Linked DNA regions of Saccharomyces cerevisiae S288C. Changing the gene in region 1 together with any one later gene gives a genetic interaction. Each region holds a gene or a part of one and is shown on either strand. Other genes may lie near its edges.

The links.
Region 2: mutations in MRI1 (region 1) and AYT1 together harm fitness more than expected from each alone (negative genetic interaction), as found in Saccharomyces cerevisiae (one large-scale study listed by BioGRID).

Annotation. Positions count from the first base shown.
Region 1 is NC_001148.4:759,286-776,167, reverse strand, and holds MRI1 (S-methyl-5-thioribose-1-phosphate isomerase MRI1), read right to left. Parts: upstream 8,417-16,882; coding exon 7,181-8,416; downstream 1-7,180. Other genes in the region: B-type cyclin CLB5, read left to right, coding at 986-2,293; B-type cyclin CLB2, read right to left, coding at 3,040-4,515; HOB2 (Hob2p), read right to left, coding at 8,674-16,143; RRG8 (Rrg8p), read right to left, coding at 16,687-16,882. UniProt on the Saccharomyces cerevisiae protein: Catalyzes the interconversion of methylthioribose-1-phosphate (MTR-1-P) into methylthioribulose-1-phosphate (MTRu-1-P).
Region 2 is NC_001144.5:2,743-17,770, forward strand, and holds AYT1 (acetyltransferase), read right to left. Parts: upstream 13,331-15,028; coding exon 11,906-13,330; downstream 1-11,905. Other genes in the region: YLL067C (Y' element ATP-dependent helicase), read right to left, coding at 1-1,173, 1,273-1,559; YLL066W-B (uncharacterized protein), read left to right, coding at 2,863-3,033; YLL066C (Y' element ATP-dependent helicase), read right to left, coding at 3,378-6,708, 6,808-7,094; seripauperin PAU18, read right to left, coding at 10,341-10,703; S-adenosylmethionine-homocysteine S-methyltransferase MHT1, read right to left, coding at 13,897-14,871.

The DNA.
Region 1 (16,882 bases):
TTACACCGCATGTGACAGTATACTAGTAACATGAGTGCTACCGAATAGATGACATTTTAGACTTTCATTCCAACAACTTGGTTGACAGAATGTTACGTACCCTATATCTAATCTATATGAGGCCTGAATCTAACTGAAAGGTGGAATTTCAGTAATTTATCAAGCTTTAATAAGTTTGGGTAGTTTAACTGTGCAAAAAGGTATTTACCTTACATACTGAATCTTGTCTGTTTGGTAGCGGCTGCTTTATGGGTGTTTCATAGATGTCCAAAATATATTGAGATATTGAGATATAACATTCTAGGATAATCAAAATTACCATAATTCAAAAGCTCGTATGGCGCAGTGGTAGCGCAGCAGATTGCAAATCTGTTGGTCCTTAGTTCGATCCTGAGTGCGAGCTTTCTTTTTTAGACTACTAATTTTATTTTGCTAGTCATTTTTTTTTTATACTCAAAAAGTAAAAAGACTACGAGTATATTCAAAGTAAAAAACGAACGTCAAACTATCTCGATTAAAACTTGTCATACTGTGGGTATCATATTCTGTGCCCTCAGTGAAAAGAACCAGCAAAAGAACGCGCATCTCGAGTGAAGACGCGCCCTTGATGGTACAAAATTTAACGGGAAGGCGCGTCGTGATGTTCACGCGCTTTGCCCACATTGGGATAGCGCCCACAGCATATCTGTGCTAAACTCACTTTTCCTAGTGACTGCCGATAGCTACTGCCATCTACCGCGAAGGGAACTTCATTTGCGTTCATCGGTTTATTAGAAGCTACTTGGAACTAATTCTTAAGCTTCTCAAGAAAAGTTTTTTTTCTGTCTATCTATTGAAGTCTTTTTGTCTTTGTACTTCAAGAGACTCAATCACCTAAAGCTTTTCACGGCCAATTAGTTGTCTCACACAAAGCAAAATAAGCTTAATAATTAGCAGTAACGCGCTTTTCCCTGTATTTAAAGCCGCTGAACACCTTTACTGAACAATGGGAGAGAACCACGACCATGAGCAGAGTATTAAAAGAAATTCTATGATTTATAATGAAAATGAGAGGCAGTTGTGCAATTCAAACCTAAAGATTCTTCAAAATAAAAGGGCCCTTTCAAAAAATGACAGCTCTAGTAAGCAGCAGGTTCAGGATTCTAAACCAAGAAGGGCTTTAACAGATGTACCAGTGAACAATAATCCTTTAAGCCAGAACAAGAGAATAGTAGCAGGGAGCAAGGCGGCCAAAGTACGAAGAGAAGAAAACATTAGACCTATTGTTAGCGCCGTTCAAAAAAGACAGATATATAACGATCGAACGGCAGCAGAGCAAGAAGAAGAAGAAGAAGAAGAAGGAGAAGATGATGATGCTGCTTCGATAGTGAACAAAAAACGCAGAATAGACGCTGAAGGAGTGAGTGAAATAGTAGGCTGGCAGGACCTAGATTATGTTGAAAAAGATGATACTGCAATGGTAGCAGAATATTCTGCTGAAATTTTTGCATTTTTATATAGAAGAGAATTAGAAACGTTACCATCGCACAACTATTTACTCGACAAAACGTCCAAGTATTATTTGAGGCCTTCCATGAGAACAATATTAGTGGATTGGCTGGTAGAGGTGCACGAAAAATTTCAATGCTATCCGGAAACGTTATTCCTATCCATAAACTTAATGGATAGATTTTTAGCTAAAAATAAAGTTACGATGAACAAGTTACAATTATTGGCAGTTACCTCACTTTTCATCGCGGCAAAATTTGAAGAGGTAAATTTGCCCAAACTAGCTGAATACGCTTATATCACTGACGGCGCGGCTTCTAAAAACGACATAAAAAATGCGGAAATGTTCATGCTCACTTCCTTAGAATTCAACATTGGTTGGCCCAACCCACTCAATTTCCTAAGGAGGATCTCCAAGGCAGATGATTACGATCCGGTTAATAGAAATATTGGTAAGTTTATTTTAGAGTATGCCTACTGCTGCCACCAATTCATTCATTTACCTCCATCTACCGTAAGCGCAATGGCAATGTATATAGCGAGAAGAATGACCAACAGAAACAAGAACGAGCTATGGAATGGAACACTACAGCATTACAGTGGTGGTATCGATCCAATACACGATGAAGCGTTTCAGTCTCTCTGCATTGATCTAGTCAAAGACATCGCTAGTTCCAAAACTCATTTAGATTCATTGATTTTGAAGTACAAGAAACCAAGGTATGGCTCTGTTTATTTCCAAACTTTCAAGTGGTGTACATCCGAAATGCATAGCAACTTTCAAAATCTATTTAATCTTAAGTAGATTAGTACTAGTAATGCTCATGAATTCGCATACTCTTTACATTTTCTTTTCTTTTTGCTGAACTAAAAGGAAAAAATTTTTTGCATCTATCTATCTATCTATATATATGTATATATAGTTTATAGTGATATGCGTGTTCACTTCAACATATATAATACCACCAGTATTACTACTATTATCATCATTAATATTAGAATTTTTTTTGTTTTTAAATTTATTCTTTTATTTTTATTATTATTATTATCATTATTACTATTAAAAAATTATTATTATTAATGTTATTCCAATGTTAATTATAATAACTATACTGAAATAATTTTAAAAGAAATGAAAAATGAGAAGAAAGCAGCATTTTTTAAGAGACTAAGGTTATGATATTTCCCATAATATCAACATCCGATACTGATGCTTTTCTTTGTCTACCCTCGCTACATGCATCCGGAAACGGTTGAACTGAAATAGAATAAAACTTATGGTACAAATCTGAAATTAAAATTAAAAAATTAAAATTAATGGTGTGGTGTTATTAGTGAGAATAAAAATGGAGTTTTATTTTGGAAATCTTAGGCTTCGAATGATTTTTTATCGTCAGTTTAAAAATAACAGAATGAAAGGCGCTAAAATTGGGTGTGAAATTTGTAAGAATAAATGGAAATGTGAAAAGAAATGATTAAAAAGCAGCCATACATTTTATATGGACATTTATCGATTATCGTTTTAGATATTTTAAGCATCTGCCCCTCTTCTCATTCATGCAAGGTCATTATATCATAGCCGTTTTTTCTAACCTTTAAAGCCCATTGGACGGAAATTATAGAAGCTTTCATAAATCTTCTAGATTGATATTTTCTATGAAATTCATCATGAACAATTGGACTCACTAGATAATCCATTATCATGTGACACACGGGCGCAAGTTCTTCTTTAGTATACCCGCCGCTATAGTGTATTAGATTTCCATCCCATTTACCTTTACCTAACATTTTTCTCGACATAAACATCGCAGCTGCTGCACACAATGAGGGTAGTATCCCAATAAATCTGAAATCTACCAATGATATCTCTAATAAGAATTTGGCAAGAGTTCGAGACTGTATATCGTAGTCATCTGCTTTCGAAATTCTTCTCAGAAAATTCATCGGATTGGGATAATTTAGGTTAAATTTCAATGTCTTTAAAATGAATTTCTCCCCTTCTTTGATTTCATCTTCCGTACATGCACCGTCTGTCTCTGATGCGAAATGTTTTATACTAGGAGAATAGACCTCTTCATATTTAGAGGCAATGAAAAGGCATGATGTGCCAACCAATTGTAACTTATCCAGTTGAACTAGCTCTTTACCTAAAAACCTGTCCATTATGTTAATGGCAAGATACAAAGTCTCCGGTAATAAGCCGAATTTATTATGGATTTTAACCAACCAATTAACTAGGATATCTCGATTTTGATGAATATTTCTATGCTGATAGAGATCTTCCTTCTTTGGAAGAGTAATGACCTCTAGTTGGTGGAGATATTCGAATATATCATTGACGTACTCGCTGACCATGAATGGATCATTTACATCTTCTGCATCTAGGTCTTCCCATTCATATTCTTCTTTGCCATTTTCATCGCACACTTTAAACTTTTTGGGCAGTTCTTGTTCAACAATTGTAGAAATTGGTCTTTTTTTTCCACTATCAGTTTCACTTTCGGTATTTCTAACTTGAAGTTGACTTCTAGCTGGATGAAGTTTTTCGTTTTCTACCGAGTTATGGACTACCTCAGTGCTTGATCCAACGCCTTTTAGGGGATCATGCTGGATTATCTCCTTCGCTGAGGAGGATTCTTGTAAACTTATATTTGCAGGCAGCTCAGCTCTCCCCTCCTTTATAGAAGTTAGCGCACCAAATTGCTGACTACTTGGGTCTTGGTTTTCTTTATCATCTAAAAGATTGTTTTTGGGGAGTTGGATACCATTTTCTTTCAGGGTTCTTTTCTCCTCTTGTGCGGCTGTTGATCTTGATACGCTTTCTCTAGTAAATTGAGGAATCCGACTTCCCTCCTTCTTTACTGAGTTTAGTGTAGATTTGAAATTTGTTAGGGCTGGATTATTCGCATTACTCTTTTGAAATGTCGTATTTGTTACATTGTTTAAGGCCAACCTTTGTACATTCCTCAAAAACCTTGATGAACTAGTATTCTGTGAGTTTTCTGTGTTTTCTATTGGGTTGGACATCTATAAGATCAATGAAGAGAGAGAGGGGGTAATCAATAAAAGGCTTCTTGGAAGGAAATAGCAAGTTATAAAAAAACTTCTGACAAACGAGCGAATGAAGTTTTTATACAATGATTAAAATTTCTCCAATGTCGTTAAAAGAATCTAAAAGGACAAAAATACAAAAGGAAAACAGATGCTCAATCAAAGAACCGCTTCAACAGATATTCTATGTCAATTTATTGAATAGCTCGCAGTAGGTTTTTATTATACACTGGCTCAATCAAAAAGAAAGAAAAAAAGAAAGAATAAATAACCAGTATCCTTTAGCTATATTTCTTTCGCTTTTCAGAAGTATCAATTCGAGAATACTTTACTTCTTGAGGTATAGGACAAAATTAATACCAGAAAGATTCAATTTTAGTAAATTTTTGGATCTTTTCAAAAGTCTAGCTAAATTGGCAAAAAATTAACCTAAAAAAAATCTATTTTATTATATTTTGATTTTTTTTCCTTTCTAAATTTTTGAGAAAGGATCTATTTCTCTTTTCCCCAAAGAGGTTATATTTTCCATTAAGAGCAAAATTTCTGAAACTCTATGCCCATGCTATGAGATGCTAGCTGTAACGAGTTTGCTATTTCCTCGAGGGACAGGCACCGAAGTTCATCCATATCGCGAACTTCGTTGTTGACCTTTTCCTGATTCGGTCGCTATATTTACAAATCTCCTTTTTTGATTAGTGCCTTGAACTTGCACTTTCCTAAACGGGCTCAATATGTAAACATATTATACAAATAGTTACCCGCATTTGGAATAAAATCTGTCTTTTGGCGGCTATTTCCGCGTGTTTGATTAGAAGGAGTAGTGGTCATTCTAATAATTCCACTGTGCTAATGCACTCGCACTTAATTTTTAAACTTCCGATGCATCAACACTAATGATCATAGCATAAAACGCGTAGAAGGCGATCTTAAGTTTGAGTCCCCCTAAGGCACCTTAGTAGACGGTCAAGAACAGGGTGTGAATATGGGCGATATTCAAGCGAGATTAGGACTTATAAAACAACAACAACAGGGATAACAAAACACTTGACCCCTATTTTTGTAATAAAACCGTTTTCAAGGTAAGGCAGTTAGTAATTTATGTACAACAGAAATTTCTGCCATTTCTTTCACGACAATAACGTAGGATAAGGCCATGAAAAACAAAAATACTAAAGTGCTTATCTAATAAAAGGAAAGGATTAAGCAGTTCCTGCCCATATTTTGGAAAGGCCGTAGCTTAGTTTCCCTGAAATTTACTTCAAGAAAGGTCTGCTTAGCAGTCACATATGTCAATTGTGGGCTGTTTAGTCAAAACCACTTGGAGGTTGATGAATTGATAGTATTTTGGTAAATGAACTAAATATACATTATCAATAAGACGTTGGAGGGGCTTTCTGTATAAATTCACCGAACACTCCCAAATTATGATAAACTTGCTTAAGCATCTTTTCGAAATGCAGTGCATGTGTTAAGTGACAAGCTAAAGGTAAGACATTACGATAATACTCTGTATAGATCGTAGTAACATGAATTATGAAGCATATAAAAATAATATGAAATGTTCATCGAATTTAATAAGTATAAATGCATGAAGATAATAATTCAATAAGATAGATAAACAAAAACGCATGAAGAGAACTTGTAGAACAATAAGCATATATCACCACTCCACTTTTTCTGAAAATTGTGTAGAAATGTAAATTCTGTGATGTTCGTTATGATTCAGTTTCTGTTTCTCAATCTCTATGTCATACTCTTACGCTATATGATAACACACTAGTAGTAGGAAAACTGGTCAAGAGATGATTGTTGTTTCTTTTCCCAACTCATACACCCCAAACAAATGCCTTTATCAAAATCCGATCTCAACACTTATCTTAGTTTACACATTTATCAAATAAGGTTGGCAATGTACCTTTTTCGGAAGGTAAACATCAAATATTTATAGAAATATTTATTAAGGACGCTCTGTTGTATTACGGGCTCGAGTAATACCGGAGTGTCTTGACAATCCTAATATAAACAGTCTTAGGGAAGTAACCAGTTGTTAAAACAGTTTATCAGATTAATTCACGGAATGTTACTTATCTTATATACTATATAAAATATGAATCATACTAAGTGGTGGAAACGCGGAATCTCGGATCTAAACTAATTGTTCAGGCATTTATACTTTTGGGTAGTTCAGCTAGGGAAGGACGGGTTTTGTCTCATGTTGTTCGTTTTGTTATAAGGTTGTTTCATATGTGTTTTATGAACGTTCAGGATGACGTATTGTCATACTGACATATCTCATTTTGAGATACAACACGCTCCGAAGAACTCATCCTTGTTAGCTCAGTTGGTAGAGCGTTCGGCTTTTAAGCGCATTTGCTTAAGCAAGGATACCGAAATGTCAGGGGTTCGAGCCCCCTATGAGGAGTTCTTTACTTTTTTGCACGTTTTACAAATATGCAGAAACAAAGACAATACATATTGTATCAGTTGGTTATAGTGTTTTGGACTTACAAGGTTCTGACAATATACATTAATGTGTTCCTTTTATTGAATGAAAAAAAAAAATAATTCTTACATCTCAATATGAAATTTTATCCTTTACAGTACAAAAGTAATTATTTCGAGAGTCTAATTAGAATGATATCTAGAAAAGGCTTTCCAGTTGAAATTCACCACTGGAATTTTTGGTAAATACACCTTCTTCTGTGATAATTCCGTCAATAAGCTCATGTGGAGTAATGTCGAAGGCTGGATTCCAGACATTGATTTCAAGAGGGGCAATACCGACCTTTCCAGTGATTGGCTCTCCTGACTCATTCAATATCAAGGAACCATTTTCAGGATTAATTACTGTACCAGTAACAACCTTGAATTCCTCAGGGTTACGTTCTTCCACAATAATGTCATCGCCAGTTTCGGTTACATTATCGATAGTTGTTTTGGGAGCTACTACAAAAAACTTAATTCCGAACTGCTTACAAATTACAGCAAGTTGTAAAGTACCAATTTTATTTGCTGTATCCCCATTACGAACAATTCTATCAGCTCCAACAAATGCTGCTTTGATTGGAATTGGACTAGTTCTAATTCTATACGCGATGGAACTATCAGTAATTAAAGTTGATGGAATCTTATCATAAACTAGCTCGTATGCTGTTAGCCTTGACCCTTGATTATAAGGTCTAGTTTCCAGTGGGAAGACATGGCCCATCCTCGGGCATTTTTCATTGTCCAATCCCGAGTCTGCCTTGTCGGTTTTAGCAAGTGAATCCTTCCACAAAGAACGGATAACACCTAAAGCCGTGCCATATCCAGAGGTTGCTAAGGATCCAGTATTACAAATCGTCAGAACGGCAAATTCGTCCTTGAAACCGTCCTTTTGTAACACGTCAATCAAATACTTAGCTCCATTATCACCCATTTTCATGTTATTCGCCAAATCCTCATCTATCAATTCACAGACGTAATTATATAAACTACCGTCAAAAGCCTTTAGGTCACTTGAGGATTTCAGTATGTTCTTTATCTCTACAAGAGAATTTGATAAATTAACGGCTGTGGGTCTACTACTCAAAAGGAAATCTAGCCTCTTATTTAGCACTGTTTTTGTAGATTCCCAGTTAACTAAAGAATACAGCGTAGCAACATCAGAAGTTGGGTTGTGTTTTATTAATTGTACCTCAGTCAAAACAGATAACGAACCCACAATTGCAATTGCCGGGGCACCTCTCACCTGCATACTTTTGATGACTGAGTACCCATCATCAATTGTGTGAATTGGAACGTATTTAGTAGTATATGGTAAAAGTAATTGATCAAGTACCTTTACCGAAACATTTTCTGGCTCCGATCTATCAAAGACGATGGCTTCCAACGACATTTTTTGTCAGCAGTTTGATAGATCACTTTGTCGGTCGTAGATATTGCTCTTAATCTTTTTATTCTAGCATGCTAAATTGATGAATGGGGAATACTTTGGCCGTGCGCCCCATCATCTCATCTTAGTAAGTGAAAAACCGGAAAAACTAACGCCAAGAAGGCCTGTAAAAAAAAAATCTTACTGATTTTCATTTTAGTATATAATACAATTACTATATAACTGAAGAATATTTACGCTAGACACATGTGTGTGTTTCCTCATTTATTTTTTGAAAACTCACTCGTAACAGGGTAAAATGGCTTTACTCCATTTCCATCATTTTCATTATACGTTTCATCTGAGTTTATTGATCTGATATCTGAAGAGTGCGTGGAGCTATAAAATGAATTATGCCCTTCGACTTCAAGGATATGTGAATTATCACGATTTTGAGAATCTGGACTTAGTAATCGATGTATTTCCATAGAAGTTTTTTTCTTATTCTCTTTTTTATGAGGCAAAAATTTGTTACCAATAATATTTCCCAAATGTTGTAAAACTATTCTTACGACGTCTCTTTTCAAAGCAGTAAAAAATTCTTCCCTCGACCACAGTTTGTTATGGTACTTTAAAACAGGGACTCTAACAATCAGGTTATTAACATCGGTCAAAAGGCTGTGTGAACCCTTATAACACACGGACATTAGAGTTTTTCGGATTATAATAGATTTTACATTGAAAAATGTCCCTGATCTTTTGACCATTTCATTGATGTTATAATCAGGTTGCACAAAAAGTGATGCTGACAATTTTCTATGATCACCCTTATGCTTTTTGATACCTTCTTTGCTCTGGATACTACGCAAGTCCCAAGAGTCAACGTCTTTCGCATCGTACACAGATAAAGAACCGTTAGAAAGACTGTGCCGTAAAACTGGAGACGATGAAAAGAAGGAACTAGTGGAAGAACGTGGTACAAGTTCTGGAGAATTGGGTTCTATGGAAGTTTGTTCTATCTTTGGAAATAGATAATTCATTAGTTTTTCCGATGTTTTGTGATCCATCTTGAAAATCAATGGCTGTAGAGAAACAATCAAATCTTGCAGATCTGAAATACCTCCAACTGATGGCCCCAGGATCCAAAAAATTTCTACCATTGGCGCGTTCTTATTATAGGATGAATTTTCATAAAAGGGGGCCAGCAATTCAGTGTAAACGGGATTTTCTTGCTGGTTGAAACATTGTAAGGAAGAAATGGATACTTTATTACTATTAGTGCCATCGGAAGTTTCTGAACGAATAAATGTAGAGGGCCCCAATCCGATAGTCACGAAAGGAGTTTTACTCTCATCGTACAATTCCCATATCAATTCATCTGTTCCAACTTGCCACCTCAATCTTTTCTGTATTACTCTATTACCACTCCCCATCCGGTCGTAAGTTTTCTTGATTGCCGTCATAAGTAACGTCAACTTCAACGTACTAGTTTGAATATCGAAGGTTAGCTCTTGTCCTGATTTCATAAACAATCTTGGCTCGTGAAGTTTGAGGTATGCTCGCGTATAATAGAGTTCCTTTATTCTTTCTTGTAATGCTGTGACAACAGAGACATCAAGATTTTCCAGGTTATTTCTGACCTCATCAGTAAATAATATCCTGGAAAGTTTCTCAACTTTTTCATCCAATGATGATCCAAAGGAAAGTAAATCTTCTGCGATTGCATATACAGCGCAGTATTGTTGACAGTCCGAGGTCAGAACCAATCCTGGAAATGCAATACGAAATCTCGAATCATAAGAGAATGCAGACGTATCATTTGCACTAAAAAATAGGGGATTGGGAGCGACGTAGGTCAAAAACATTGATCTCCGTTTTAGAAAAACATGCTTATCTAATAAAGACCCGTCAAAGCACATTTCAAGAGGAATCCATGGGGGCCATATATCTGACTCTTTGTCGGAACCATATCCATTTTTATGGAAAAATCTACCTTCAGGACCCTCTAAATCCTTTTTGAACAATGTAAACAACTGAATGTCCTTTGAAACAGCGGAATAGCGAGTTTCAACAATAGTATCGACGTCAACGGGAATTCTTTTTCCTGATTTTCCATACACTTGAACTATATCAATTATTCCCATTTCTATATCCCTAGCAGCTAAAATAACTGCTGCGTTCCTTTCAACGTCCGATTTGATCTGAACCTGAGGGGAGATTAGTCTAAAAAGATAATTATCAACATAATCAAAGTCATCACTCGGAACTTCTCTGATGAGTTTCTCAAAGTGCTCAATAAATTCTGAATTACTGGCTAAATCGTCCTCAAGTATTGAACCATAATCTTCTACAGATGTTCTGACCCCAGTCAACACATTTCCCAGTAATTCTTTTAAAATAGTTACGGATTTATAAGTCACAGCAAACCTCATAGATTTCCTTTCGAAAGCACTGGAAGCGTATTCCAAAAGGTGATGCCTGATTTTATTATCGATTTTTAACTCGATATTATGGACCATGAAACGGTTATCATAGGTGGACTCAACCTGCATAGTAGAGGCTTTTCTCATTGATACAAAAGACTCCACGGTATTGGTCCTCAATAGCGATATTCTATTTTGAATTGGCGGTGCATTTTCCAAATTTACATCAGTATCGGAGAGTGAGCTGGAGCTATCACCATCAGTATTTCCTCCAGGAATAGTCTCCGAGATTTTTAAATCGCTCAAGATGGTGTTGACTGTGTGCAATCTGTGGTTTAATTCAGCTACCTCTGCTTTTAATTCGCGTGCATAGCGCTCCGAATTTCCACTTACCGAACCTCCGCCTTTGTTCGATTGCAATTCGCTTAACGTAATATGTAATAATTTTAGTTGTTCTTCTATTTCTCGTTTTCTTTCAGTTGCTAATTTCTCCTGCGTCAATTCTGGATGATTCTTGCCAATCAGACAATTGTGAGATTCTTCGGTACCAAATGGGTAAGCTAGTACGTAACCATCATCATTTATTTTTCTAAAGTAGGATATTCTAGGAGAGTATAGCAATGGTATTGCTTCTAATTTTAATGGAAGTGAGGAACCAAGCGGCACTTGATTCAAGTCTATATAATCCTCATAATCATACCAATCTGATTCACGCAAGTATTCCACATCTTGAGGCGTAATAGGACGTGATGGCTCGTCTTCAAGTATGCCATCGAGTCCAGAAGTAAGAATTTCCTTAACTGCTTCCTGATCAAACAGAGTTGATAATATCCTAATATCTGCTTCTGCACAATCAATCTCACCCCTAGACATCTTAAACTTCCATACAGGTTTTGACTTATTTAATTTTTGGTTCGTATGGGTCAGTTTAACTCTTTTTTGATGCAAATCAATTTTCAGTGAATCAAACCTCCCTTTCAATCCAGTAAAAGTTATTTTGCGGTCTTTTTCAAGATCATATTGAGTAGTAATATGCCGATAAATATGCGTAACCATTAGCCGTTTTAAATGTAGCTGATAAGCTATTGTAAATAATGAGCGACCAAACTTTGTCTTGTTTTGAAGTACATCCGTAAATAACCGTCCTTGCCTAATAGGACCAGATGTATATGTATGAAATAAATTCCACCACTTAAAGAAATGTGTTAAAGCGTAAGGTGCGAGATAGAGACTATTTATGGATCCGTGCTCAGAAGAATAGACACCAAATGACATGTGGATAAAAGATGTTCTAAATCCTTTGTATGTATCATGGTGATCCAAATCTGCGACTCCATCTGGATTCATCAGCTGTATTTCATAATGTGGCCTATTTGGAAGGAACCTCTCTTCGTCACCAGCCTTAGATATATCGCCTTGTTCAAAAAGTAAACCTAATGTCCAAATTACTCTTCCATCGAGCTTCATAAAGACTTTATCAAATTTACTAACTTTGGCAAAGTCTGGCACTGCCAACTGAAACCTTTGGGATTCAATTTTTAAAAACTCTTTAGGATCCGTGGAGTTATGAACGTAAATTGTGGTGCCACCAGACCAGCAGAACGCCAGACCCGCACCATCATCTGTAATCTTATAAGGATCATGTGAACCTTTAATATTTAAGTGGATCTCACTTTCCTCTGAAAACTCGTATATCCACTTCCCATGCACTAAATATCTGAATTTGTCCCAAAATCCTAGCTTTTTGGACGGATCGATGAGAGGTTTGGTTAAAAAATCAAACCAAAGCATCAAAGACTCATAACCGGGTTGCAGAGATTTCCCCCATGTTATTCTGGCAGATGAAGAAGATGTAACCATTGACCTAATATTGAAATATGTTTTGACTGAATTAATTGTACGAATGATGTGCAAACCATATATTGTATTGGCGTCATTATAGGGGCTTCTTTGGGCAGAGCTGACAAAAGGAACATAAACAGTATGAAGCGCGCAAGGTGCTGGCATCTTTTCAGCAAATACAACATCACCTGTTGTAAATGTGTCGGGAAATGATATAGCAGGTATTGGATAATCTCTCAGACGCAACTCCCATAACGCGCTTTTGATTTTGAGGCCAAGAATAATTAGCAAAGTGTACTCCGTAGATTTTGGAACTTTTTTTCCATACTGGTAAACAAAATCCATATAATTGTCTAAAGGGAAGGAAGGACTGCCTAGTTTAAAATCCAAATCTTTTACGACGAGGTTAGCAACAGTACTGGTTTTCTGTCTAGTAAACAAGTGGTATTTCGTACCAAGCTCTTCACGGCTGATAACCCGATAAGGCATACCATAAAAAGAAAGTTTTGCTTTCCTGTATCTGGCAATCCATGACGTTGAAAAGTTTTCTAACAACCTGAGATAGGCCTTTTGCTCATATTCTTGATCATTCGCATAAAACTCTGGGAAAAAACTTTGTCCACGGGAGGTATCATAGAGCGACCTTAAACGTACATTCATGTCCTCATATGTTGATAGCTTTTCCTTGAACTCTTCAAGCTTCTTTAACCTCTCACGTTGTTCCAAAACACCAACTTTCAAAATTAATCCTAACTCCTGCTCAAAAGGATCTTCTTCAATATCAATTAGAAAATCCTGGCAACAAATATGTAAATTTGGAACTTTTTTCGGAAACTGTTGCTGAGGGTATAATCGCTTAAATTCATTCAAATTGGAAAATGCCAATTTAATTTGCTTAAACGATTTATACAACGTGACTATGTTATCCGTTATCATGTAAAATCTAAAATGATATTCGGCATGAAAATGAATCAATGAGGTGTTTATAACAGCGGATTTCTTGCAGATCAACTCTTCAGTGTCTAGCTCAAAGTCATTAATATTTAGCAAGGAAACATAAACCTTAATATGCTTCACATAAACCGATACCACGTACGCTGACAAAGATGCAATTGTAAGATTTTTAGTGGAACTTGAAAGTCCAATCCTCTCGAATATTAGGAGTACCTCTGTATTATGAGGAAGCGTTAGCTCTATAATCATCTTTCCTATATCTACTCTTAATCTATCGAGAACATTGACAGATTTTACACTGCTCACTGAATTTCGGCTCAATTTTGAATTAGGACGAAATTTTATCCATATACTCCGAATATAAAACCACAACCAGATAATATTTACATCCATCTTAAATTTAATCTTGGGAAGTGAAAAATGAATTTCATCTGAGTCGTTAAAACTCAATAACAAATTGGTAAATTGAATAATAACCTCAGGAGAGGGCTTATACGTAGTGCCATCCATGAAACGATATACGGATGCATCAATAATAGTGAAGTTTTTCTCCTGGCTGTCCGCTAACAATATTGATTCTGTAAAAACAACTTTGGCGCCTCTAGTTACGTCAGATAAGTTAAAATTCTCAGCTTCCACAGGATCCAAATTTTTCGGAAGAAACCCAGCGACCAGTAACGAACATGAAATATCCTTCATTCTAAGTTTCAATGACCAGTTAAATGTTTTCTTGGCTTCATTTAGGTCCCCCAATTTTCCACCATTCGCTTTATGAGCCGCATTCCTTTTTGTTCTGCTAGATATTAGCAAGTAAATTTTGTCAAAGGCGCGACTTAAAGTATGCAAAACTTCAATGTTCTCAAGACTAACGTACGAATGTCTTAGTGTAGACTGAACGATCAATTTAGAATTTGAAAATTCATCCAGAAATGTGTCTAATCTTTCAAAGCCACAGACTGGTATAGACACTGGGTTAGCGTCCTGCTCTGTTGGAATTCTCAGGTAAGAGAGTGATGTACCCACAATTTTAATATAGTTAGATAATTGATCAGATACTAGGGCTGTCTTCGCAAATGGCCAATCCGGACGTATTTGCATTACTTGTCCCTTTTTAGGAGTCATAGACAAGTTGTTACGGCTAAAGAGAGCATGTGTGCTGAAGACCTTAAACGTCACATTCTCCTCATCTGATATATGCAGCCTTGAAATAAAATTCGACATTAGTAGTTCAAAGTTAAAACTGGGCAATCGATCAATATCTAAATCTAAAATATTTAATGATCTGTCGTTTGTGTTAGTACATGATGAGGTCTCAGGGCTATCGAATTTGTCCACTAAATGAAGAACTTCCAGTACTTGATGTATAGTGAGGAATACTGAAGGATTTATAATGTTCAAAATGGAAGATACCTTCGTTCTCCGTAAAGGTACATTGTCAAGTAAAAATAGTAAAATATCTGACGTCAGTATGACATTTCCAAATGGAATTCTAACTGCTGTATTACCATCGATATCTACTACAACAGCATTTGCAGAAAGTGATAGTTCAAAATCGCCCCATGTGGGCTTATTTAAGGGTAAAAGTTCCAAAGCGGAGACATTATTTAGAATGGAGATTGATTCCAAGTAAAGTTGAGCACTTGATATGCGAATTGTAAACTTTTTTTTGTAAATCAACTTTACATTTTCTACCTTAAGGTCCAGAATGTTCAAAGTTTTCAGTGGGTAGTGAAAAGGCTTTAGCATCTTACGATATGAAGTGAGCATTTCCGCATCATCACCAGCAGAAAAAGGCTCAACAGGCTCCGAATGCAAATTCTTCCCTTTCTTCTCTGGAAGATGCCAACAAACATCACTTATTTTGAGACTTGATTTCCAATTTTTTAGTATAACTTTTGTGCAGTTGCTGCCTGTATCATCTTCCTTTCCAATTTTACAGACCATAAAAAAACCAGTATGGTTCAAAGTATCTTTCGTTTCAGGATGGGTAAAATCATGCAAAAATGCCTCTAACTTTATGGTATCATCGTGTGGGTGTGATATCGTTATGGATCCGATATTTAATTTATATTGTTTTCCATTAGGCACTGTAAGAGCTAAAGTATGAAAGAAAGTGGAAAATGAGAACACAAGTTTCAAAATTGATAGGACTCGCCTGTTAATTACAAAGGTAAAAGTTTGATCCCGCGGATTGAAATATGTTCTGGAGTCTTTAGTTGAATGTGCAGTGATATGGCTGTCCTTCCCAAATAACTTCAAATCAACATTATGAAACACAATTCCGGGTTTCCAACCTATTCGCAAGGTTATCTTGCCAATATATATTTGAGCAAAATCAGTTAAGATAAACGCTCGTCTTATTGACGTACCAAAAAAGTATCCAAATGAAATTTTTCGTATTGTGGAATGGCGCAGCATCAATATCCATGACATGAGAATACTAGCGATTTTCTGAATTGATATAATAAAAAGCATAAAGCCTAATAATAGTTTAGACACATCCCTTATTTGAGACCACGGTAACATAGACATTGTAGATTTTTTTTCTTGCAATAAACAGGATACTCCAGCTACTAGATATTATGGATGACAAGCCTACTCGAGAAATTGATCAGCAAAACTAAATTGAATGCTTAGCTTTTAAATGTAAGCCTTTTCGTGGGAAAAAGTGTATGATTTAGTTTTCAAAGAAGTACCTTCTATAATGGTAAATTATTGGTTGTGCTCTTGAATATAATGCATGTGTATGCCCTTGAAGTTTTTAATACAAAGCCACTAGTGCAAACAAATCAACAAATCTATTTACCCTTAATGTTCCTCTTTATCAATCATACAGCCTTGCAGATGGATGGTAAGTGATGGACTATAGAACACCTCAGAGATATTTTACGTAGATGTGCGGGATTAAGGGTTCTGAATTCTCCTGCCCGAGGCGCCCAAATTTTTCATTTTCGGATTGCAAAATGATGCCATTCGCTGACAGCCAGTTTTGTATTCATTGAATAAGAATAATGGCAAATTCAGAGAGACAATTCCAGCGATATATCCCGCTTTCCTTCCTTTTTTCTTCCGCAATCAGTTAACTGAATGAAACAATAATGTACTATAAAGGTGTTTGATGAGATCCTTGTCATTGTCGGCATCCAGGTAAATTCCATTAGTAACTGCATCTTTACTCACGATAGCTTCTAGAGTTGGCTCGTGGAGATAACCAAGGTTAAAGACAGACTGTGTAATTGGTAGCCCTTTACCATGACTAACTACTTGTATT
Region 2 (15,028 bases), on another chromosome or scaffold:
GCAGCACCCAGCTTCCCGTGTATCCATACCACCCTAAAATACTTTCTCCAAGAGCAGGCCAATTCTTCCACTTCGTTGGTTGTGCTTGCAACTACAATGGCCTTCGACTCTGGTTCAATTTCAAAGAGGGCTAAAAGAAGCTTCAGTGCTTCTTCGGGCTGTGATTCCACTTTCTTCCAAATTTTATGAACATGCCCTAAAGGCACCTCGGATTTCTCCTTGATTAGATTAAACATCCGTGTTGGATAGCTGGATAGACCTCTGCTGAGATCTTCCGACCGTTTGAGCTCGTTGATGTCCATCGACTTCTTGGCCAGTCCCGTAAGCCCAATACGCTGCAACGCAGCATCAGCTACAGCCTCAGGTGCTGTGCCGCTCAAAAAGATTGCTTTCTCAAAAGCGTCAAAATCAAGGTTAGTTATGCCCCCAAATTGCGACTGCCGGTAGACCTCCGTTTCAAAGTTGTGAAACTCATCTACAATGAGGTAACCCAATTTTACGTTGTTGGTCCTAAAGGTGCACTCAACAATATTCTCCCACGCAGCTATCCTGTCTGTGAAATTAGTGCTAGCAAGATCATCGTAGATCCCCACGTATAAATCAGTAACGCCATCGCAACCTTCTTCAATAAAGTTTCTTACAGGGGCCACATTCAAGCAACCGCATCGGCCCAACCTGATCATGCAATTAGCAAGCAACACTGTGTACGGTACAAACAGAAACGACACATATTTCACGTCGCCCTTAGACGCCAGTGCTATCAAGGGGAGATGAAATAACTCCGTCTTACCATAGCCCGGTGGGGCCTGTACTGCCACAGAGGGTGTGTCTGCCATGTATATTTCATGACATAAGCGCAACTGATGCAAGTCCCTGAATTCAAAGGAGCTGCCAAAGAGTTTCTGGCCTGCGACGAGGATATCGTTTGTACTCTTGGGCTCTCGGGGCCTTTTTCGCGTTACTCTTGAAATTTTTTGATCATGATCTGAACTCGCCGCCTCACCTGCCACTACGTCTTCCGCATTCCGAGTACTAGAGAATGAACAATGGTAGTCGCTTTCAAGGCCTAACCATTGAATCCAGCGCTCGGAAGTGAGTCCGTCAAGCGTCTTTAGTCGAGGCTCCGATGAACCGTTCTTGTTGTATCGTCGACGTATACGTTGCGCTGTAGCTCTGGATAACGGTAAGCGTATCACCGTAAGCTCGTCAATTATTTTTGAGAGCCGCGGTCATTTTGTTAGTATCTCTTCTCAACTTGGGCAGCACACATGCAAAACATCACCCAATCGGTCCTTTTTGTTCATCATATCGTTACATATCTGTGAAAAGTACTTTATCTCAATGGGTTTACGTGGGCATAGATCACGCTTCAGCCGCTCTGTGTCGACTTTCTTTTCGCCAGGTAAACTTGCTTGGTATGCAGAAAAAATCGATAGCTCATCTACGTGTAGTAACAAAAACATGTGGGGTGCCAAATTGTACCCATATCTCCTTATGGTGCTTTTCTGAAGACTCCTTACAATAGGTGCGCCAGAAACAAAGTCAGTGAAAGTACGCATCGTAGAGCTGTCGTTCGGCCTGGCACTCGCTATTTCGTGACAACGTTCCAGGACACGGAAACTCAACTCATTATAGTATCCTCTGTTGAGGTAAAAAAGAGAAAGGGTATCGTAATCCTTTCTATTGAATTTCAAAGTATGCACTTGAAACAACGTGTAGACCATCAAGTTGATTTTCTTGGGAATAAGATACTTTGAAGGGATTGGTCCGCCCTGGAAATCTGGTTCGTCTTCAACAAACGTCAGGAACTTTTGTACATTTTTCCCGACCATGACGGAAACGACAATTTTTTCAAAAGACCTTTTCCTATCCATTGCACCAGTTCTGAATTTTACCACTTTGATTAGGCCAGACTTTTCGTCTTCGTAGAATGACCGCACTTCCGTGGGGATCGATTCAAATAAAGTTATTGAGGGACAATGTACCAAGTCGTTTTTGTTATTTAGAGCCGACTCAAACTCGTCAAAGTTTGCTTTTTCAAACTTACGCCTATCGGAAACTTTCATTTTATTTTTGTAAGTTTCGAAATTAACAATAGTATGTTGATTGTTATGCTTTTTGACAAGAAATCCATCAATATAAACAAAAGATTGTCCAGTTTCCGTCTTATCATCATCTAAGAATGTAATAATTAAGCTACTCTATTGAGAAGAAGCAGAATCTGCGCTATGCAGGTGCAAATCTCCAGCAGCAGCAAAGAAAATTCAGTTAATAAGAAATCTCACTAAGATAAGCGACTGTCTGTCCCAACATAGAAAACAGAAGGATGTCTCATTCATCCTTGATTTCCGGCCTGCAAAAATAAAGTAGTCGGTACGTACGTTCGTTTTCAATTTCCATGGTGCACAGTATCTTAACTATCTGCTTAGTCGAGGAGAACCAGGATTCTGTTCGTTGCTCAGCCGCTTCGTGGATATTCTCTTGGATACTTTAAATATGGACCTACGCTTAGCCTGCGCTTAGCCTACAACTTCTTCCGCTCTCGAAAAGACCAATATAATAGAAAGTTATAAATTACATTTCCTTATTAGGTATACGACCTCGCGCTTCGAAGTAGAGGAGCCCTTTTTGGCGTACCTACATATGGCGCGTCAGACAGACAAACTTCCCCCAAAAATGTATTACCCTGCCGAATAAGAAAACAGACCCATTCACCCACGACGTATCAAGTTACTTCCTTGGTGCAATGTCCCACTATAAAAAAATTCCTTGACGCTAGATCGTTGGACTAAAATCTGCGTCACAATCGCCTAAACAGGAAATATTGCCTATTTTCGTACAAGGTTACTTCCTAGATGCTATATGTCCCTACGGCCTTGTCTAACACCATCCAGCATGCAATACAGTGACATATATATACACCACACCCACACACCACACCCACACCACACCCACACCCACACACACCACACACCCACACACTCTCTTACATCTACCTTTACTCTCGCTGTCACACCTTACCCGGCTTTCTGACCGAAATTAAAAAAAATGAAAATGAAACCCTCTTCTTTAGCCCTACAACACTTTTACATAGCCCTAAGTAGCCCTCATGTACGTCTCCTCCAAGCCCTGTTGTCTCTTACCCGGATGTTCAACCAAAAGCTACTTACTACCTTTATTTTATGTTTACTTTTTATAGATTGTCTTTTTATCCTACTCTTTCCCACTTGTCTCTCGCTACTGCCGTGCAACAAACACTAAATCAAAACAGTGAAATACTACTACATCAAAACGCATATTCCCTAGAAAAAAAAATTTCTTACAATATACTATACTACACAATACATAATCACTGACTTTCGTAACAACAATTTCCTTCACTCTCCAACTTCTCTGCTCGAATCTCTACATAGTAATATTATATCAAATCTACCGTCTGGAACATCATCGCTATCCAGCTCTTTGTGAACCGCTACCATCAGCATGTACAGCGGTACCCTCGTGTTATCTGCAGCGAGAACTTCAACGTTTGCCAAATCAACCCAATGTGGTAACAACCACACCTCCGAAATCTGCTCCAAAAGATATTCCAGTTTCTGCCGAAATGTTTTATTGTAGAACAGCCCTATCAGCATCGACAGGAATGCCGTCCAATGCGGCACTTTAGATGGGGTAACTCCCAGCGCAAGCTGATCTCGCAAGTGCATTCCTAGACTTAATTCATATCTGCTCCTCAACTGTCGATGATGCCTGCTAAACTGCAGCTTGACGTACTGCGGACCCTGCAGTCCAGCGCTCGTCATGGAACGCAAACGCTGAAAAACTCCAACTTTCTCGAGCGCTTCCACAAAGACCGTATCGTCTTTTGCCTCCCATTCTTCCCGGCACTTTTTCTCGTCCCAGTTCAAAAAGTACTGCAGCACCTCTGTCTTCGATTCACGCAAGTTGCTCCATACTTTATAATACAACTCTTTGATCTGCCTTCCAGACATGCGGAAAACTTGGCTCCCTTGCTTGCCTCTTGTCGAATCCAATACACTAATTGTTTCTCTTCTTCTAGTAATGGCCAGGTACCAAGCATAATTTCTCTGTATCTGAGAGTAGATCTCTCCCCTTTTTACGCTAAAAAATTTCAAATACCCTACAGGGTCCCCATGATATGGCTCGATGTCTTCCAAGTATTCTTTGTATTCCTCGTCATTTCGCAGCATTCTCTCCACAGCTAGTGCTTCCCAAGCCATCCTCCGATACGATACTTTCTGGCCAGCCCAACAGACACAGAGCCCGAACATCTTTTGACAGCCCTTGCATAATCCGTATTGTGTGAATACTCCCTCTGGGCAGAAGTATATGTCAATACCATAGAGGAAAAGATGTTTAATTTCGTCAGACCGAAATCCAAGAAACTGTAAGACATTCATATTCTCGGAAGTATTGGGAAATTGTGCTTTCAGTTTCTTTCTCTCTAGCAAAACCATTTGACTCCCTTTCCGCTTATACGACTCTTTGTTAATGTCGGTGACTGGATGGAATCTATTATCCTCAGCATTGCCATCTTTATTGGCGTCCTCCTTGGCACTAGCGTTGGTACTTTCAGTGGTAGTGGCATTAGTGCTGGAGTTGGTGCTAGCAGTGGTAGTGGCATTAGTGCTGGAGTTGGTGCTAGCAGTGGTAGTAGCACTAGTGTTGGAGTCGGTACTTTCGGTGGTAGTAGCACTAGTGTTGGAGTCGGTACTTTCGGTGGTAGTAGCACTAGTGTTGGAGTTGGTACTTTCAGTGGTAGTCGCACTAGTCCTGACGTTGATGCTGGCAGTGGTAGTAGCACTAGTCCTGACGTTGGTGCTGGCAGTGGTAGTAGCATTAGTGCTGGAGTTGGTACTTTCAGTGGTAGTCGCACTAGTCCTGACGTTGATGCTGGCAGTGGTAGTAGCACTAGTCCTGACGTTGGTGCTGGCAGTGGTAGTAGCATTAGTGCTGGAGTTGGTAGTCGCATTGGTACTGGCATTAGCACTACCATGAATGCACGTGTTGCTGTCCTCATCACTGCTGCAATACTTTCTGCACCTGTCACTGCTATTGCTCTCCTGGAAGCTAGACGGTAACGCAACGATCGACATGGAAGCTGTCGCCTGTTTTTCAGCCAATCTGTCCATTCTTTCTATCAGTTCCACTGTGTCAGCAGACAGGTCTGTCCTGGAGCCACAGCATCCAACATGCTGGCCCTTTTTTCCTTTCTTTGATTCAAGTCCATAGAACTCGCGTACCTGTTCGGTTATACAGCCTTCCTTAATCGGTGGTAATTCACCCTTACGATTCCTTGCCGCCCAACTGTTTTTTCTAGATAATAGATAACAGAGGCCCCCATCTCTTAGTCTCCCTACGCCTTGAATGAGCTCAATAATATTAAGTCTATTATCAAGCATGATCACCATCATCAATTGCTTAATGTCAATTCCTTCAGTCACTAATTTCGTTCCGATGAGAACTCGCATGCTACCGTCAGTGACAAACTCCTTTGTGCGAGACACCTTTTCTGCAGCACCCAGCTTCCCGTGTATCCATACCACCCTAAAATACTTTCTCCAAGAGCAGGCCAATTCTTCCACTTCGTTGGTTGTGCTTGCAACTACAATGGCCTTCGACTCTGGTTCAATTTCAAAGAGGGCTAAAAGAAGCTTCAGTGCTTCTTCGGGCTGTGATTCCACTTTCTTCCAAATTTTATGAACATGCCCTAAAGGCACCTCGGATTTCTCCTTGATTAGATTAAACATCCGTGTTGGATAGCTGGATAGACCTCTGCTGAGATCTTCCGACCGTTTGAGCTCGTTGATGTCCATCGACTTCTTGGCCAGTCCCGTAAGCCCAATACGCTGCAACGCAGCATCAGCTACAGCCTCAGGTGCTGTGCCGCTCAAAAAGATTGCTTTCTCAAAAGCGTCAAAATCAAGGTTAGTTATGCCCCCAAATTGCGACTGCCGGTAGACCTCCGTTTCAAAGTTGTGAAACTCATCTACAATGAGGTAACCCAATTTTACGTTGTTGGTCCTAAAGGTGCACTCAACAATATTCTCCCACGCAGCTATCCTGTCTGTGAAATTAGTGCTAGCAAGATCATCGTAGATCCCCACGTATAAATCAGTAACGCCATCGCAACCTTCTTCAATAAAGTTTCTTACAGGGGCCACATTCAAGCAACCGCATCGGCCCAACCTGATCATGCAATTAGCAAGCAACACTGTGTACGGTACAAACAGAAACGACACATATTTCACGTCGCCCTTAGACGCCAGTGCTATCAAGGGGAGATGAAATAACTCCGTCTTACCATAGCCCGGTGGGGCCTGTACTGCCACAGAGGGTGTGTCTGCCATGTATATTTCATGACATAAGCGCAACTGATGCAAGTCCCTGAATTCAAAGGAGCTGCCAAAGAGTTTCTGGCCTGCGACGAGGATATCGTTTGTACTCTTGGGCTCTCGGGGCCTTTTTCGCGTTACTCTTGAAATTTTTTGATCATGATCTGAACTCGCCGCCTCACCTGCCACTACGTCTTCCGCATTCCGAGTACTAGAGAATGAACAATGGTAGTCGCTTTCAAGGCCTAACCATTGAATCCAGCGCTCGGAAGTGAGTCCGTCAAGCGTCTTTAGTCGAGGCTCCGATGAACCGTTCTTGTTGTATCGTCGACGTATACGTTGCGCTGTAGCTCTGGATAACGGTAAGCGTATCACCGTAAGCTCGTCAATTATTTTTGAGAGCCGCGGTCATTTTGTTAGTATCTCTTCTCAACTTGGGCAGCACACATGCAAAACATCACCCAATCGGTCCTTTTTGTTCATCATATCGTTACATATCTGTGAAAAGTACTTTATCTCAATGGGTTTACGTGGGCATAGATCACGCTTCAGCCGCTCTGTGTCGACTTTCTTTTCGCCAGGTAAACTTGCTTGGTATGCAGAAAAAATCGATAGCTCATCTACGTGTAGTAACAAAAACATGTGGGGTGCCAAATTGTACCCATATCTCCTTATGGTGCTTTTCTGAAGACTCCTTACAATAGGTGCGCCAGAAACAAAGTCAGTGAAAGTACGCATCGTAGAGCTGTCGTTCGGCCTGGCACTCGCTATTTCGTGACAACGTTCCAGGACACGGAAACTCAACTCATTATAGTATCCTCTGTTGAGGTAAAAAAGAGAAAGGGTATCGTAATCCTTTCTATTGAATTTCAAAGTATGCACTTGAAACAACGTGTAGACCATCAAGTTGATTTTCTTGGGAATAAGATACTTTGAAGGGATTGGTCCGCCCTGGAAATCTGGTTCGTCTTCAACAAACGTCAGGAACTTTTGTACATTTTTCCCGACCATGACGGAAACGACAATTTTTTCAAAAGACCTTTTCCTATCCATTGCACCAGTTCTGAATTTTACCACTTTGATTAGGCCAGACTTTTCGTCTTCGTAGAATGACCGCACTTCCGTGGGGATCGATTCAAATAAAGTTATTGAGGGACAATGTACCAAGTCGTTTTTGTTATTTAGAGCCGACTCAAACTCGTCAAAGTTTGCTTTTTCAAACTTACGCCTATCGGAAACTTTCATTTTATTTTTGTAAGTTTCGAAATTAACAATAGTATGTTGATTGTTATGCTTTTTGACAAGAAATCCATCAATATAAACAAAAGATTGTCCAGTTTCCGTCTTATCATCATCTAAGAATGTAATAATTAAGCTACTCTATTGAGAAGAAGCAGAATCTGCGCTATGCAGGTGCAAATCTCCAGCAGCAGCAAAGAAAATTCAGTTAATAAGAAATCTCACTAAGATAAGCGACTGTCTGTCCCAACATAGAAAACAGAAGGATGTCTCATTCATCCTTGATTTCCGGCCTGCAAAAATAAAGTAGTCGGTACGTACGTTCGTTTTCAATTTCCATGGTGCACAGTATCTTAACTATCTGCTTAGTCGAGGAGAACCAGGATTCTGTTCGTTGCTCAGCCGCTTCGTGGATATTCTCTTGGATACTTTAAATATGGACCTACGCTTAGCCTGCGCTTAGCCTACAACTTCTTCCGCTCTCGAAAAGACCAATATAATAGAAAGTTATAAATTACATTTCCTTATTAGGTATACGACCTCGCGCTTCGAAGTAGAGGAGCCCTTTTTGGCGTACCTACATATGGCGCGTCAGACAGACAAACTTCCCCCAAAAATGTATTACCCTGCCGAATAAGAAAACAGACCCATTCACCCACGACGTATCAAGTTACTTCCTTGGTGCAATGTCCCACTATAAAAAAATTCCTTGACGCTAGATCGTTGGACTAAAATCTGCGTCACAATCGCCTAAACAGGAAATATTGCCTATTTTCGTACAAGGTTACTTCCTAGATGCTATATGTCCCTACGGCCTTGTCTAACACCATCCAGCATGCAATACAGTGACATATATATACACCACACCCACACACCACACCCACACACACACACCCACACCCACACCCACACACACACACCCACACACACCACACCCACACACCACACCCACACCCACACCACACCCACACACCCACACCCACACACCCACACCACACCCACACCCACACACACCCACACAGTACCTCAACACAACCCCTAATCCAACCCTGATGAACCTGCCTCCAAACCTACCCTCCATTACCCTACCTCTCCACTCGTTACCCTGTCTCATTCAACCGTACCACTCCCAACCACCATCCATCTCTCTACTTACCACTAACCACCGTCCACCATAACCGTTACCCTCCAATTACCCATATCCAACTCCACTACCGCTTACCCTACCATCGACGATGTCCTACTCACTGTACTGTTGTTCACCCACCATATTGAAACGTCTACAAATGATCGTAAATAATACACATATACTTATCCTACCACTCTAATCCCACTACCACATGCCATACTCACCTTCACTTGTATACTGATATGGCATATGCACACGGATGCTACAGTATATACCACTCTCAAACTTACCCTACTCTCACATTCCACTCCATCACCCATCTCTCACCATCAGTACCAAATGCACTCGCATCATTATGCACGGCACTTGCCTCAGCGGTTTATACCCTGTGCCATTTACCCATAAAGTCCATCATTATCCACATTTTAATATCTATATCTCATTCGGCGACCCCAAATATTGTATAACTGCCCTTAATACATACGTTATACCACTTTTGCACCATATACTAACCACTCAATTTATACACACTTATTTCAATATACCCACAAAATCACCACCAAAATCACCTAAACATAAAAATTATTTATCTTTCAACTTTACGAAATAAACATATTGACTTGAAGTATGAGCACTACCATAACGTCATTAACGTAAAAGTTCCTTAATATTACCATTTGCTTGAACGGATGCCATTTCAGAATATTTCTAACTTTCACAGACCATACATTAGAATAATATGCCACCTCACTGTCGTAACACTCTATATTCACCGAGAAACAATACGGTAGTGGCTCAAACTCATGCCGGCGCTATGATAAAATTGTATCCTATTTCCATTCCCATATGCTAACCGCAATATCCTAAAAGGATAACTGATGCATCTTTAATCTTGTATGTGACACTACTCATACGAAGAGACTATATCTAAAGAAGACGATACGGTGATAGGTTTGTTGTTTTTGTAGGAGTCAACGAAACGCCAAATAATTCTACGGTAATATAACTTATCAGCGCCGTATACTAAAACGGACGTTACGATATTGTCTCACTTCATCTTACCACCCTCTATCTTATTGTTGATAAAACACTAACCCCTCAGCTTTATTTCTAGTTACAGTTACACAAAAACTATCGCAACCCAGAAATTTTGATATTTTAAGTGTCAAAAATGAGGGTCTCTAAATGAGAGTCTGGTACCATGACTTGTAACTCGCACTGCCCTGATCTGCAATCTTGTTCTTAGAAGTGACGCATATTCTATACGGCCCGACGCGACGCGCCAAAAAATGAAAAAAGAAGCAGCGACTCATTTTTATGGAAGGACAAAGTGCTGCGAAGTCATACGCTTCCAATTTCATTGTTGTTTATTGGGCATACTCTGTTAGCTTTATTTCCGTCCACGCTTTTTCTACAATAGTGTAAAAGTTTCTTTCTTATGTTTATCGTATTCATGAAATACTTCACGAACACCGTCATTGATCAAATAGGTCTATAATATTAATATACATTTATATAATCAACGGTATTTATATCATCAAAAAAAGTAGTTTCTTATTTTATTTTTTCATTACTTTTCACTGTCTATGGATTTTCATTCGTAAAGGCATCACTCCCTAGTTTGCGATAGTGTAGATACCGTCCTTGGATAGAGCCTTGGAGATAGCTGGCTTTAATCTGGTGGAGTACCATGGGACACCGGTTATCATTCTGGTCACTTGGTCTGGGGCAATACCAGTCAACATGGTGGTGAAGTCACCGTAGTTGAAAACGGCTTCAGCAACTTCGACTGGGTAGGTTTCAGTTGGGTGGGCGGCTTGGAACATGTAGTATTGGGCCAAGTGAGCTCTGATATCAGAGACGTAGACACCCAATTCAACCAAGTTGACTCTTTCGTCAGATTGAGCTAGAGTGGTGGTTGCGGAAGCAGTAGCAGCGATGGCGGCAACACCAGCAGCGATTGAAGTTAATTTGACCATTGTATTTGTTTTGTTTGTTAGTGCTGATGTAATCTTAACAAGAAATAGTGAAATGAAAGCGCATACCTCAAAGGCATATAGTTGAAGCAGCTCTATTTATACCCGTTCCTCCATCTGTCATCACTACTTAAACGATTCGTTAACAGACGCTCATTTAGCACCTCACATATTCTCCATATCTCATCTTTCACACAATCTCATTATCTCTATGGAGATGCTCTTGTTTCTGAACGAATCGTACATCTTTCATAGGTTTCGTATGTGGAGTATTGTTTTATGGCACTCATGTGTATTCGTATGCGCAGAATGTGGGAATGCCAATTATAGGGGTGCCGGGGTGCCTTGAAAAACCCTTTTGCGCGCGCCTGTGACATTTCCTTTTTCGGTCAAAAAGAATATCCGAATTTTAGATTTGGACCCTCGTACAGAAGCTTATTGTTAAAGCCCATACTCAGTCTGTTCTAAACGGCTTCCATGGAAGAAAAATAACTATATTATAGCTTTCCTAAAAGTTTAATTAAGAATAGCAGACATGTGTTGGGAGTCGTATATTGTTAGAATCTGTAGTTTTAGGTGTTCTCAGTAAATTCATTGAAACAATTGCGTACTTGTAGGCTTCTGAGAAGCAGATAGTAGTCAAATAGTTGATATCTAAAGAGCTGCCGAAGGGGGTTTCTGTATCCGCGTAAGTAATTTTTTGAAATTTTAATGTGATTTTTGGCGGAATGGTGTGAGTGGTTCACTTCTCATCTTCAATTTCATCGTCTTATATTTCGATAATAAAACAATACAGTGAGCGTTGTTATTAAGTAAATCATAGGCACTTGGTATCATATAATTCAAAATCAAGTAGTTGTAGTAGTGCGTGTGTGCGTGTTAGTAATTGTTGATGGCCTAGTTCATCTCCTTATTGAAAAATGATAAACAGGTGGCAGTTTCAATTGTAGTAAATATTTATTCATTTTTTTATTATTGCTAACGTATCTGAAGGCTACGATGTAACGCAGCTCATCTCTTTTAAACATAAAAGTCATTTGTGTAATGTAGAGATTTACAAAGATTTTAAAAAAATAACAAAACTATACAAAACTATCTATATTTGAATACTTCCTACTATTTTTTTTTTTTTAACTATAATGAATGAATGCATGCCATATTGACTTACGTAACAAGGTGGCCTATTGGTAATATATTACATATCATCATCCTATATGTGTAGCATAATTTGTCCATTCTTTATCCGCATTCAGGCACTCCCAATCTTTATCTCTAAGGCAAAGAGCAACCACCATTTCACCTCTGGAGGATCTAGGCATAAAATATATTAGGCTCTCAAGGGAAATGAAGCGCGGCCGTCGTACACTCTTGGGCTTCCCAAGCCCTAGATTGAAATCAACGTCATACAGGCTGACTTTTGCCCACGAACTGACCATAATTCCAGATAAAGTATCAATTGGTTGAGGTATAGAAACCTTAGTCTTGTCCGGGCATCGGCTAAGGAGCGTAGCAAGTGCGCATGTATTATAGGCCAAATCGAAGACTTTAGGGTCTAGCTTCCTGCGAATCTGTGATGCAAGAACGCCCAAACTTTTATGATCCAAGCTTTTCAGGGAACCTGTATTAAAGGTCATGTTGACTAATAACCCTGGATACGTTTCGGGGAGTCCTAGCCGTTTTCTAACATCCACAGCACGCCCTAAATTTGATTTCGTTTCTGGTTTAAGTCGAGATAAACGGGCTCGAGAAACTGATTTCCAGATGAAAGCAGTGACGATATCATCAGTGGAGACAAATTTTGTGCCAGAAGTACATGTCTGCATTGCCAAAATCCTCAGATTCTGCAATGAGATAGCAGAAAATTCAACATAAGCCCAAGTAGAGTTCGAAGAACAAGACTGTTCCTTTTCCTCTCCACTTGTATTTCTAGAGGTTTCCACTATTTCATGAACTAGCGTGGTGTCGGGTTCCCAAGTTTCATCAAACAAAGGAATAGATTTGCTTTTATCTATATTTCCAATGAGCAGTTCTTCATCAGAGAAAGGTTTTTGGTGGCAAGATTTATTGAGCAAGTTGATGATACTTTCCTGTCCTGTTATATCCATAATATTGTGCTGCCCGACAATAGTTAAGACGAGGCCGCCGGAGATAAAGTTTGCTTGAACTGCAAATACAGGCCCACTCTTGGCGGCCATACCTATAGTGTTTCCAGGTGGATTGATAGTCATGCAAGGCGCAAAAGTCTTTTCGTCTAACATGTAGATAGGAAAGTCAGCTTTTTCAAGCGAATCCATTGTTGGGGCAGACAGATCTTCTCGAAGATCTTGGACGATAAGTGGAATTTTGTCTGACGGGACAATTCTGTAGGTACCAGTGTTACCTTCGTCAGCACCTTCATTTACGACATTTCCTGCTAGCCACTGGAAATTTTTAGCCAATGTTTCAAGTCCTCTTGTTAAGGTATTTACGATATGGTCATGAGCAGAAGGATCTGGTACACGGTAGATAGAGCATATTTGAGTGTATAGTTTGTATAGCGAAGGTTGTTGTCCCAAAATATCAAGTTGATCGTTTTCTAGCATCTGTACACTTTTTGTACGTTTCTGAGAGATGATCTTGACTCTAAACATCCATCTACCTTCAAAGTGAAATTTATAGTCACGTCCGTCATTATGCACGTCTTAAACATTAAAATCTTGATAAATACACTGTAAAAGCTTTAACGTTATTGGAATAGAAACTCTCATCACTCAGAGACCATCAGTTACCTGCAAAACGTTTCATATTTGTATATAAACCATGAGATTAAGTGGTCTGAAATTATGTATCATTTTTTGCATTCTAGCATGCCACAGCAAGGGGGTACACGTATTTTTTGATGGTGAATAAGATAGAAATGCATACCGTGATACTTCAAGCTGGCACTATCTTTATATCTTCCTCCGTATATAGCACTTGAAGCTCTGTATCTAGAATATCCTCTTTAGTCCGGGACGTGCCTCCAAATACTTACGGATTGGCGAAAAATATGCACTGAAATGTGTGCAAATTAACCAAAATAGGGCAGGCAGTAAAAAGTTCTAATGATTTTTCTATTTGATCAAGATAAAATAACCTTCTGCTGAGGACCGCACATTGACGTATATACACTGCTTTTAGTTTTGTAGATACAAGATATTTGTTAAAAGAAATTGAATTAGGAGTATTTATCTACAGCTGATGCAATTTCGGCGATATCTTTAGGAGACGTTCTACAACAACCGCCAATAATGCGCGCACCATTATCAACGAATTTCTTAACCGTGGTCTCCCAGTCATCCAACTTATTAGTCGGCCGGTGCCATGTCTTCTCTTTGGGATTGTAGATTTCTCCACTGTTTGGGTAAACTAGCAGAGGCATGCCAGGTAGATGCTCGTGCAACATTTTAAGAATTAATGCCGATTGATTGAAACTGACACAGTTAACTCCCATTAATAAGAGATTCTTGTTAATTTTATTTCCGAGGCCTTTTATATGGACAGAAATTTCTTCCAAAGTGGTACCGTCTCGTAGCAAACTATTGTCATCCACCGACAACCCAATATAAAAGGGCTTCGAAATAATATCTTCATCCCAGGATAAAATAGCCTTTAACTCATGAAAATTTGGAATCGTTTCAAAACCAATAAGATCAATATCTCTATTTTGGTTGAAGTTCTCCAGCTGGGGTTTGAAAAAGCCGTAGTAATCAATATTCTCAGGATGGGGACCATAGTCACCAGTATATTCACAGGATACATGTGCTGCCCATGGGCCAATACTCCCGATTAAGTACCTTTCCTCACCAATAAATTCACGAGTAAATGACACGATTTTATCGAGAAAACGCTTGTAAGCAGCCAGAGTTTTAATCGAGGTATTCTCAGATATGCTTTGAAAGTTTGCCTGGTAAGTAATTGTCATTAATATGTTTGCGCCAGCAATCATAAAGTCTCTGTACATTTCTTCTACCACCTTTCGCTCTTGAGAAGATGGCTCCCAAAAGGATTCGCTCGTAAAAGGAGCTGCAGACCATACCGGACTATTTATGTTAATGCCTCTGTTTTCCAATTCTGTACCCTGTCCACCATCAAGGATAAGAACTTTTCCGGGGTGCTCAACTATTAGTTCTTTGATTGGAATGCGCTTCATCTGTTTTTTGATTACTTTTTCAAGTTGCACACTAAAAGTTGCTGATTCAGATTTCTTCTACAACTTGTCTGTTTAAATTATCTTCCTTAGTAGTACATTTTCAAATTGGCGTTGTTGCTGTTTTGCTATTACCATTGAATACCTCGCCACAATTTGG